Linked DNA regions of Cricetulus griseus. The protein of the gene in region 2 interacts with the protein of the main gene of each other region in a biochemical or structural test. Links are inferred from orthologs where the notes say so. Each region holds a gene or a part of one and is shown on either strand. Other genes may lie near its edges.

Region 1 (3,663 bases), on a different chromosome or scaffold from region 2:
TAACACTCAAGTATTCTATGAACCCTGCCAGTTCTGAAGAGGATGAATTTTCTGAAACAGCTGACATATATACTGTTCTATACAAAGCTGTTTTTTAAAACCACTGGCAGGATCTCCTAAGAAATTCACATGTACAATCTAGAAAAATGAAGGAATTCTCTCTGGGGCTCTTTTCAAGTAGCTGCACAGAAACACTGTATTAGTTCTCTTCTACTTCTGTAATCAAACACCATGACCAAAGCAACTTGTAAGTTGCAACGAGTTCATCTGGGTTAGTAGGTCTAACGAGTTAAGAGTCCATGATGGCAGAGCAGACATGGTATCAGGAGCAGAGGCTAAGGGCCCACATCTCAAATGGCAAGCAGAAAGCAAAGTAGCAGTAAGTGGGGTTTTATACTCTTTTGTTTTTTTTAAGACAGGGTTTCTTTGTGTAGCTTTGGCTGTCTTGGAACTTACTCTGTACATCAGGCTGGTCTCAAACTCAGAGATGAGGTTTTATACTTTTTGTTTGTTTGTTTTGTTTTTTTGGAGACACAGTGTCTCTATGTGACAACCCTGGCTGTCCTGGAACTCTGTAGACCAGGCTGGCCTCAAACTCAAGAGATACACATGCTTCTGTATCCTGAGTGCTGGGATTAAAGTCGTGTGCCACCACCACTGGGCAAGGCTTTATAATCTTATTTTTTAAATAATTTTTAAAATCTGAAAAATATTACATGTCAATCTCAGTTTCCTCTCCCTCTTCTCCTCCCCTGCTTTCCCCCCACCAACCCACTATTGCAGCCCTTTCTGCTCCCGAGGGAGGGTGAGGCCTTCCATGGGGGGAGGTCTTCAAAGTCTGTCATATCATTTGGAGCAAGGGCCTAGGCTGAGAGAGTATCCCTCTATGTGGAATGGGCTCCTAGAGTCCATTCGTATACTAGGGATAAATACTGATCCACTGCCAGAGGCCCTATAGATTGACCAGGCCTTCTAACTGACACCCACATTCAGGGGGTTTCCCAGCTATCAGTCTGGGGTCCATAAGCTCCCCCTTGTTCAGGTCAAATGTTTCTGTGAGTTTCTCCAGCCTGATCTTGACTGCTTTGCTCATCATTCCTCCCTCTTTGCAACTGGATTTTAGGAGTTCAGCTCAGTGTTTAACTGTAGGTATTCAAATGCCTAAGACTATGGGGAACATTTTATTCCAATCACCTCATTCTGAAACAAGGATTTAACATTGCTGTCTTGGGGGGGGGGGGTTAAAAGTTACTATCCATTATCTTAAAGTCTTTTCAGTAAACTTTGCATTCCAGAAATAAATGTGACTACCGTTTTTGTTTTTGCATTAACCACAATCTGTGATGATTAAAAACTTTCTTAAAGTAAAGCAATCGAACTTCAGTTAGTAAAATCCTATTACTTGACAAGCCAAGGCTTTCTTCAGAAAATGTTTTTGTGACCCAAGTAGTGTGAAGAGCAATTCACTTTTGCTAGGGGACTCAGCTCTGTTCTCGAAGTTCTACGCTTCTTTATTTCATGGTCACAAATTAGATCTTACCTTGCATTGAAAATCAGAGCCTTCATACTTCATACACCCAGAAGCTAATGTGGTTTCTCCCTGATCATCTTCTTCTATAATGGCAAAGCAATGCCCATTAGTTCTACAATAGAGAAAAAAACAAAAACACAATACAATTTCATATTAAACAGAATAGAGTATGGCAGCACACATCCAGAATACTAGCATTCAGGAGGCTAAAGCAGGAGGATCTTGCATTACAGGTCACCCTGAGCTAAACAGAGAGACTTTGTCTGATAAGGAAGGCCAGAGAGATGGCTCAATGGTTAAGAGCCCTGTCACCAAGCCTGAAGACCTAAGTTTGATTTCTAGTACCCAAATGGTGGAAAGAACTGATTCTGGCAAATTGATGTGTGCACAATACACACACACTCCACTAAAAAAAATCTAAAAAATTTAAAAAGACATACAAAAGAACTGAAGATATGTGAATTGAAATGGCCTTTGGTAACTTGGGTTTTTTTCCCACATTAAATTGAATTCTTGCCGGGTATTGGTGGTGCATGCCTTTAATCCCAGCACTCGGGAGGCAGAGGCAGGCGGATCTCTGTGAGTTCGAGGCCAGCCTGGTCTCCAGAGCGAGTGCCAGGATAGGCTCCAAAGCTACCCAGAGAAACTCTGTCTTGGGGAGAAAAAAAAAAAAATTGACTTCTCATATGATTACCAAAACCAATATAGATTTAAGCTAAATCAAAGGTAGTATTCTTGAACTAAGGCCTAAAGGGCCAATAAGAACTCTATGTCAAATAGAAAAGGAGTTTTGCTAAATAAATGTTCCATGTGCATGCTGCTCGGAATTGCTCTGCTAACCACACTCATGATCACATACTATATATACAAGGTAAGAGATGAAAACAAGCTTTTCTGCGAAACATTCAGCAGACCTCAATGACACATGAAAGTATATTTGGGAAGAACAGATCACTAAGCTTCTGAAAGGTACTTTGTAATGAATGAGACAGGAAAGCAGAGAGACAGTCTGAATAGCTTCATTTTAAAGAAATTTACAAAAATATATTTAGCTTCATGAAGTTTTATCACTTTAATGTCAGTGTCCTTGAGCTTTTCCCTAAGCTAATGTAGGAAGGATAAATAATATAATTTCATAGATGAAGTTCTAGACATTGTATTTAGTCTATTCAAAGAACACAGAATGTTAGGGAACTATAAAACTTGGCCTTTATTATCACTTCTAAAACAAAGATAATTAATTGACTGATGAGACTGAATTGCACAGTTTTTGTTTTTGTTTTGTTTTGGTTTCATTTTTTGTTGTTGTTTGGTCCAGAAAGTCAATTCTTCAAATGTGCCCCAAGATATGGTCTATGGGCCACAGAATGACTGATGGTGTAGAAGTGCTTGCTTTCTAGACTGACAATCTGAGCTCCATTCTTGGAACCCACATAGTAGAAGAGAGATGAGACTTCTGTAAGTTGTCCTCTGATCTCTTCATGTACATCTACATACATATCATGTACACACACAATACATACATGTTTGAAAATTCAAGTTTCATGACCATCTGTGAGTGGATTGAATGGTTAACATAAAACTAAGTAGGAAGTTAGCCAGGCAGTGTTGGGGCACCCTTTGATCCCAGCACTCGGGAGGCAGAGGCAGGTGGATCTCTGTTAAGTTTGAGGCCAGCCTGGTGTACAGAGTACAGCCAGAGCTGTTACACAGAGAAACCCTGTCTCAGCAAGGGAGAGAGGGTGTCTTAGTCTTGATGACTAAGTAGGAAATGCAAAGTCATATATAAAGCAGATGTGAACCAGAAGTCCACAGAGAAATAACAAAAGTGTCACAACTGTTTAATGATAGATAACAATATTTCTATATTCAAGGCAAGAATCCTTTCTTTCTTTGGAAAGATACCATATACTAAGGGGGGGGGGGCACTTGTCCGAGTGTGCTTTTATTCTCCTAACTCTTAAGGACTGAAGCAAATACTTACATGCATGTGTTATTAATAGCATCATCTGGGCAGTGGCCTGAGCAGTAACACTTTAAGAAAGGCAAAGTATCCTCCGGGGCTAAAGTCACTCCATTTTCTGGCTTCTTCTGGTCCAAGTCTGATTTCATACCAGTACCATGGAGCATAC
Region 2 (3,602 bases):
GACTCAGATTGGGTGTTTGTTTCTGAGCCAAGCAAGCAGGCGATTGTGGTGGAAGTGAGGGTTCTGCACATGCTGTTTCTCTAGCGTGCTTGCCAGGTGCTCCTGCAGCAGGATAGTACATTTCCAGAGCTCAGAGAACACCCTGCCTGGATGACCTGAGCCACAGAGGGTCACTAGCCTCTTGCTCAAGAAGGTGCACCAGCAGGGAGGCCTGGTTTAGACTGACAGACATGCCCTGGCTTGATAATGGGAACAAAATGTTGCCATCTACAAAGTTCATACATATAAAGAAGGTGCAAAAAAATTAAACTGTTTTAACTGTTTACAGTATCATTTGGGTTTTATTTGTAGCTGTTCTTACCCAGTGGGTGCAAGGTCTGGGCTGTGAGGTGGACTCACCTGGGATGGAGCTGAGGCAACGCCATCCCTAGCAGGACAGGGGTGGTTCTAGCCATGGCCTCTGATCTATGGGTCACTCCCTGCTGCTATTGCACCTCTGGTCCAGGAGACATAGCACAAGGGTGTCCCCTCCAAGCCTCAAGTCGCTTCTCTTTCCCTTCTGCTGGGCTCACAAAAACCACGCTCCCTTTCCTGCCCCTGAAGGGACCCCATAACTCAGAAGGGCATAGCCTGAGCCTGTGTCCCCTGTCCATGAGGAAGGACTCCACACAAGGTGGGACACACAGGGGTGGGACACTGCCCTGGGCTCTCTGCAGAGTCTGGCTAGGACCTGGCCTCACCCTCCTCTCTTTGCAGGACTGGATCATTGCACCTGAAGGCTATGCTGCCTACTACTGTGAAGGGGAGTGTGCCTTCCCTCTCAACTCCTACATGAACGCCACCAACCATGCCATCGTCCAGACACTGGTGGGTGCCTCTTGGGGGGAGGGGTGGCCTATGGGGAGTGTGAGTGACTTCTACTGCCTTTACCCAGAACCTGAGCAGCTGTCTGTCCAAGTGTGTCATGACTCTTGTGGGTACCTGCTGTATAAAAGGCTGGAAAAAAATGTTTTAGGCATATAGTGGTATAAAGATGAATTTATATGTGGTGTCAGCATGCCATACTGTGTTATGATTTGTGATCTTCCTGCCTCAGACTCTGAAAAGCTGGAATTATAGGCCTGCACCCCAAACCAGGCAGCAAGGGATATCTATCTTTATCCCGTTCCCACCCCAAGACAGGGTTTCTCTGTGTAGCCCTTGCTGTCCTGGAGCTCACTCTATAGACCAGGCTGGCCTTGAACTCAGAGATCTACCTGCCTCTGCCTCCCAAGTGCTGAATTAAAGGTGTGCGCCGCCACCACCATCCGGCTAGCAAGGGCTATCTTTAAGTACTGGTTTTCCAAAACTTTCCCGTTCCCTGGACCATAAACTCCAAAACTGCATTTGGGATGGAGTCTGCAGCCAGGGATGGAATGAGCTGTCGGAACCTGGTGCGCCGCCAGTGTGGCTTATCTGACCTGCTCTGAGCACGCGGACGGTGCTGTGTCCTGTTGCCTTCAGGGCTCTTCCAGGCACCCTTTACCATGGCCTTAGAGGCCTAGGGGCACAGCTGCTTCTGTTAGCATTTTACCTCAGGGTGCATGAAAGTGTCCGGTGCTGGAGGGAGGAGGCCTCTGTGGTCATGTGGACCAGGGGTAAAACCTTCTTGGGGCATCCTAGTGAGATGCAGTGGAAATGAGCCGACACACCGAGGACTTTGTTACACTTATTCAAAGAGGAGCAAGTTGGGGAGGGTAGAGGTGTGGAAGGGTTTGATACTGTCCATCAGAAGAGATGGAAGGAGCCACCTCAGAGGTCACAGCCTGGAGGCCGTGAGCCGAGAGCCAAGCCAGCTGCTGAGATATATTTGTTTGCCATTCCTGGTTTGCTCAATACCCAGAAGCTGCCCATTAATAACAAATCAGGAACTGGGGTTGGGCTCAGGTGGTAGACCGCTTGCCTGGCATGCACAAAGCGCTGGGGTTCACTGAATGAACTGGGTGTGGTGGTTCAGGCCTGTCATTTCAACCCAGCCCTCGGGAGGTGAGAGCTACATAGCAAGTTCAAGGCCAGCCCTGGGATGTAAGAGCTTCTATCTCAAACAACCTGGTAACACATGAGAACTGAATCTCTGGCCTGTCTGGCATGGGGTCATGAATCCTTAATGGCATGGACTGGCCAGCTGGGCTGGGTCAGCTTGCAGGAGTGGCCTCTCCCTTCAGTTTGCTCCAGTCCCCACTCCTCCCTGCTGCCTCCTCCAGGTTCACTTGGCTCGTCAAAGGTACTCACATGGAATCTGCAAGGCATTTGAGTTTTCCCTTGTCTGACTCCTGCTCTGTGGGGTGCAGAGGTACATGTGAGCAAAACAGCCCTGTCTTGAACTGGGATCGTCATGTAATTCAAACTTGTTTGTGATTCAAATATATAAAACAAAACAAAACAAAACAAAAAACAGCCCTGTCTTTATAATTGTTGTGATGCTGGGGAATCGAACCCAGGGCCTTGTGTGTGCTAGGCAGGCACCCTAACACTGAGCTACAACCCATCCCTTAAGACAGAGTGCTTTTTGAATGTGCAGCAGTCAGGGAGGAGGCTCAGTTTGGAGCCCCAGCTGTGTCTACCACATCAGATGTGTGCAGGAAGACTGTGTGTGCTGGTTCCCTCGTCTGCATGGTGGAGGCAGTCGTGGGCTGAGTTGGGCCATGAGACATGCTCACCTGTCATTTATAGTCATCTTAGCCAGACAGTTGATGGTCTTTAGAGAACTATAGAAGTCCGCAGAAGGCCTCGCCGCCTCTCACCATGGTTTCCGTTGGTGGCTTGCAGGTTCATTTCATCAACCCGGACACGGTGCCTAAGCCTTGCTGCGCACCCACCCAGCTCAACGCCATATCTGTCCTCTACTTTGACGACAGCTCCAACGTCATCCTGAAGAAGTACAGAAACATGGTGGTCCGGGCCTGTGGCTGCCACTAGCCTCTTCTGAGAGCCTGACCTTTTGGGCCACGTTGTTCCAGATCTGTGGCGTCTCAACATCTAGTCTCTCACTGCCCACCTCGGCGAGGAGCGAACAGACCTGTCACCTTTCCTGAGCCTTCCCCTCACCTCCCCCACTGGAAATACGTAAGGCATTAGAAACCCGAGTGCCCAGTGGCTGGCAAGCAGTCTGTAATTCTGGCACACTGCGCACAAGATCCTACAAGCTGCCACAGGCAACATCTAGCAGGAAAAATATCTTCCGAGAAAGAGTCTGTTGGCCACATGGTCTCTGTGGTGCTCTGAGTCCTTGAGGGGTAATCACAAGTGTCCTTCAGCCAGGCCATCAGCTGCAGCAGGAGCAAGGGCATAGCCAGGGTGGGTGTTTAACGTCTGTGGTGAAGGAAGACTAAGCAGAAGTCCCTGTAATAAAATGTCACAATAAAACCCATGAATGAAAATGGTTAGGATGTTACAGATATATTTTCCTAAACAATTTATCCCCGTTCCTTGGTTTATTCTGATTTCATAAACAGAAGCTGGGACCCGTGGATGCTGGGGAGGCCCCCTCCTTTCCACTTGGTTTCCTTCTGAGGCTGCAGGGCCCAGTGTTTACCCAGAATTGCCCAAATCTACTGTGTAGG
Region 3 (3,663 bases), about 110 Mb from region 2:
TTCACCTAAGTACCTAAGTGGCCATGAGAGAGAGCCAGCTGTGGGAGACACAGGCCAAAACACAGTGACAAACAGGCCAAGTGTAGTGGTGCAGGCCTTTATCCTAGCACCTGGGAGTAGAGGCGGTCAGATCTGCATAATGAGTCCCTGCAGGAAGGAAGGGAGGTAAGGAGAAAAGAGAAGGAAGGAAGGAAGGAAGGAAGGAAGGAAGGAAGGAAGGAAGGAAGGAAGGAAGGAGAGAAGGAGGGAGGGAGGGAGGGAAGCAAATGCTTTCCTATCTGCTAAGACAAAACCATTTTATAAAATCAAACAGATCAATAAAAGCCACCCATCCATGGTCCTTGAACTTAAATCTGATTCATTTTGAGAAAGTACTGAATGCTTCTGATAAGGAATGCTTACCAAATGTGGAAGCAGACTTCTCTCAATAATCCAGTGATAAGAAGAAAAAGAATTCCTCAATAGCAAGGTTCTTACATAAGGGCTGAACACTCACTCCTCTTAAGTAAAATCTAGCTTATGGAGCAATAAAGAGGGAAGGACAGTGAGAGGACAGACAGACAGAAAGCCAGAAAAGGAAAGGAAATAAAGAGTGAGAGACCCAAGCGAAAACCAAGAAAAACATTACCCTGCTCCAAAAATAGCTCTTCGGTTGTCATTTTTTCTCTTGAATTTCAGACACAATGCCATTACACACTTAACCCACCATAAGTCAGGCAAGTATGATTTGATTTGAGGAACAATGTGGCTTCCAGATTGCCCTATGCCTTTTGACCACACTGCATCAAAAGACCACGGACAAGGACAATGTCACACACTTACCATTGCTCACCATCCGCCTGGCCACTTCCCACAGGACAAGGCCAAAGGCCCAAATATCGACCCTCTTGTAAGAATCAAAGCAATCCACTTGGATGGTTTCATCTAGAACTTCAGGAGCCATGTAGCGCTTGGTCCCCACACGGGGGTTGTTTCCCACGTCAAGCTGATTGGTGCTCTGGGAATGCATGACTGCTAGGCCTAAAAGGAAAAAGACAACAGTGTAATTAGCCTTTCTCCTACTGGGCAGCTGCAAGAACTTAAAACAGCCCCAATCAAAAGCGCCCTCTGGTGGTACATGTCACTGATGTTACATCTAGAATATCCTGGATGTCCCCAGATTAATTGTAACTTTGGGTGTGAGAACAGGAAGATTATGAGACTATCAAGTTAATATATGAAGCTCTAGGAGATATAGATTTTTGTAAATGCAGACCAAAACACTAAAGCACTATGAGGCCACATTTGAAGCCCATGGAAAAACAGGTTCATACACATTCTAGGTAAACCTCAAGGTGGCTTAAAAATCAGCAAAGTAAACTCCCAAACGCCATCACTACTCCCACTTATCTCCAAACACAAATTTTGACAGTGTGAGGCCAAAAACCTTCGGTAATTTATTGCTCCACAAAGGGCAAACTATGACTGGTTCTGGTGTATCCCCAAAGGGGCAGCCTCTTATCAGAGCAATCAGGCTGGCTGAGCCCATGGGCCTTCCCCTGAAATCCTGGGAACAGACGGCAATAAGCTGAACCTTGACTCAAAGTGCATCTCTCTTGTTAAATGGTTCCAAAGCACTTAAGCCATGGCTCTGTTTCTGAATTCCTCCATCAATTAGAGAGACCTGCCATTCCCTTCTAGCCACTGGGGAAAGACAGATTTGTGCACGGCTTATTTGAGGGTGGAATTATTTATTGATGCATAAATAGACCATCTTAAAAATGATTGCTATAACACTCAATATTATGAGAAGTGCCAAACAGGATCAAGATGCCCTGGGAAACTTTGCAATCCTAAGATGCCTTGGAAATCCCTCCAGCTATCTGCAGTGAGTGAATTCTTCAGGCCCATAGCTTTGAAGACATGACTCCATACAAGGCCAGAGAGCACGCCATCTTACCCTTCACAATTAGCTAAGATTTTAGCAACTGCCTTCATCTAAAGCAGAGTGGCTCCTCTTTCTCTGTTGTGGCCATTTTGAGCATTCCCCAAATCATATGTGCTCCTCTGCCATTCCTAGAACCACTAGTTGAACCATTAGCATGCCGTGAAGGTGCAGCTGAAACACACCTGCCACACCAGTTGTGATGCTGGCTTTAGTTTTGTCCAGAAGTTTGGGCTGGATTAATAATGACAAAAGTGACCATGTGTATCTTTAGAACGAGGGTCCAAAAGACAGAACAAAAGTTTTTTTCCTGATTGTTTTTCTTTGACTTATTCAGTATGCTAAAGGCCAGTAAATAGCCCCATGGAGAGACCTACATGCAAGGCACTGAAGCTTGCTGCCAAGAGCCATGTGACCAAACTATATTGGAACTGGCTCCTTTGGCCAAAGCAAAGGCTTCCAATGACTAGATCCTGGAGCAACATTTTATCAGTGTACACCTGCAATCCTAGCACTTGGAAGGCAGAGGCAGGAGAATTTCTACAAGTTTCAAGGCCAGTGAGTTCCAGGTCAGTTAGGCCTAAATAGTAAGACACTACCAGAAAGAAAGAAAGAAAGAAAGAAAGAAAGAAAGAAAGAAAGAAAGAAAGAAAGAAAGAAAGAAAGAAAGAAGGAGGTAGAGAGGGAGGAAGGAAGGGAGGAAGGAAGGAAGGAAGAAAGGAAGGAAGGAAGGAAGGAAGGAAGGAAGGAAGGAAGGAAGGAAGGAAGGAAATAAAAACCATCCAGAAGATGTTAGGTGATAAGCTTCACAGAAAATCCTTTACCCACTAGAGTATTATCACAATTTAAAAAAAAAAAATGCAACCTGTAAACCTTGACTAAATTGTTACTTGGGAAAGTCAAGGATGGTGGCACACACTTGTAATACATTCAGCATTCAGGTGCTGAGGCAGGAAGATCCAGCCTAGGCTAAATGAGGTTCCAGGCCAGTCTGGGAGACATGGTTAGACTTCAGTGATTTTTAGATGAGATTAAACTGTGGTCTTGGAAGATATATTTTGATATGGGACAACAAATTGAGATATTTAGTAATAAAGTGCTGTGGTATCTGTCACATACCCCAAAATTAGTAAAACTACTTAAGCACAGAAGAAAAATGTGATAAAAATTCTAATTTTGAACCTAAGAGTCATTACAATATTCTTTCAAGGGGAGTGGTAGTGGTGCACACCTTTAATTCCAGCACTTGGAAAGCAGAGGCAGAAAGATCTCTGAGTTTGAGGCCAGCCTGGTCTATAGAGCAAGTTCCAGGACAGGACAGCCAGGGCTACACAAAGAAACACTGTCTCAAAAAACAAAACAAGACAAAACAAAAATAATATTCCTTCAAACCTTTTATGTGACGCTTTCACTTATTTGCAAGTATTTTTTAATAATGAAGTTAATTTTTAAAAAGATAAATTTAATTAAAAATGTATATGCTTAAGTGTTGTTAATAATAAAAAGTTAGAAAAATCAATCATATACAGTCCTTTGAGCAGCACTGATAACAGAACACTGTTCCTGATGAGTGATCCTTAATTTCAGGGTAAACCATGAAGAAATAAATGCAATCTAAAGCCTTAAAAGGGCTGTTTCCTACACAACATTATGGGTCTCCTGCAGTGACTCAGTAGCATGGGTTTTTACAACAACTAATGTACCTAATTGGAAGGCTTCATACCAAAAGAAATGTGGCT

The links.
Region 1: the proteins of Bmp7 (region 2) and Bmpr1a form a complex in vitro, tested with the Homo sapiens proteins (2 studies listed by BioGRID). The link is inferred for Cricetulus griseus from reciprocal best matches to the Homo sapiens genes BMP7 and BMPR1A.
Region 3: the proteins of Bmp7 (region 2) and Acvr1 form a complex in vitro, tested with the Homo sapiens proteins (2 studies listed by BioGRID). The link is inferred for Cricetulus griseus from reciprocal best matches to the Homo sapiens genes BMP7 and ACVR1.

The regions. Positions count from the first base shown.
Region 1 is NW_023276807.1:184,929,903-184,933,565, reverse strand, and holds part of Bmpr1a (bone morphogenetic protein receptor type-1A), read right to left. Parts: coding exon 3,516-3,663; intron 1,644-3,515; coding exon 1,541-1,643; intron 1-1,540. UniProt on the Homo sapiens protein: On ligand binding, forms a receptor complex consisting of two type II and two type I transmembrane serine/threonine kinases.
Region 2 is NC_048599.1:6,453,058-6,456,659, forward strand, and holds the end of Bmp7 (bone morphogenetic protein 7), read left to right. Parts: intron 1-756; coding exon 757-867; intron 868-2,808; coding exon 2,809-2,958; downstream 2,959-3,602. UniProt on the Homo sapiens protein: Growth factor of the TGF-beta superfamily that plays important role in various biological processes, including embryogenesis, hematopoiesis, neurogenesis and skeletal morphogenesis.
Region 3 is NC_048599.1:116,416,302-116,419,964, reverse strand, and holds part of Acvr1 (activin receptor type-1), read right to left. Parts: intron 1,021-3,663; coding exon 823-1,020; intron 1-822. UniProt on the Homo sapiens protein: Bone morphogenetic protein (BMP) type I receptor that is involved in a wide variety of biological processes, including bone, heart, cartilage, nervous, and reproductive system development and regulation.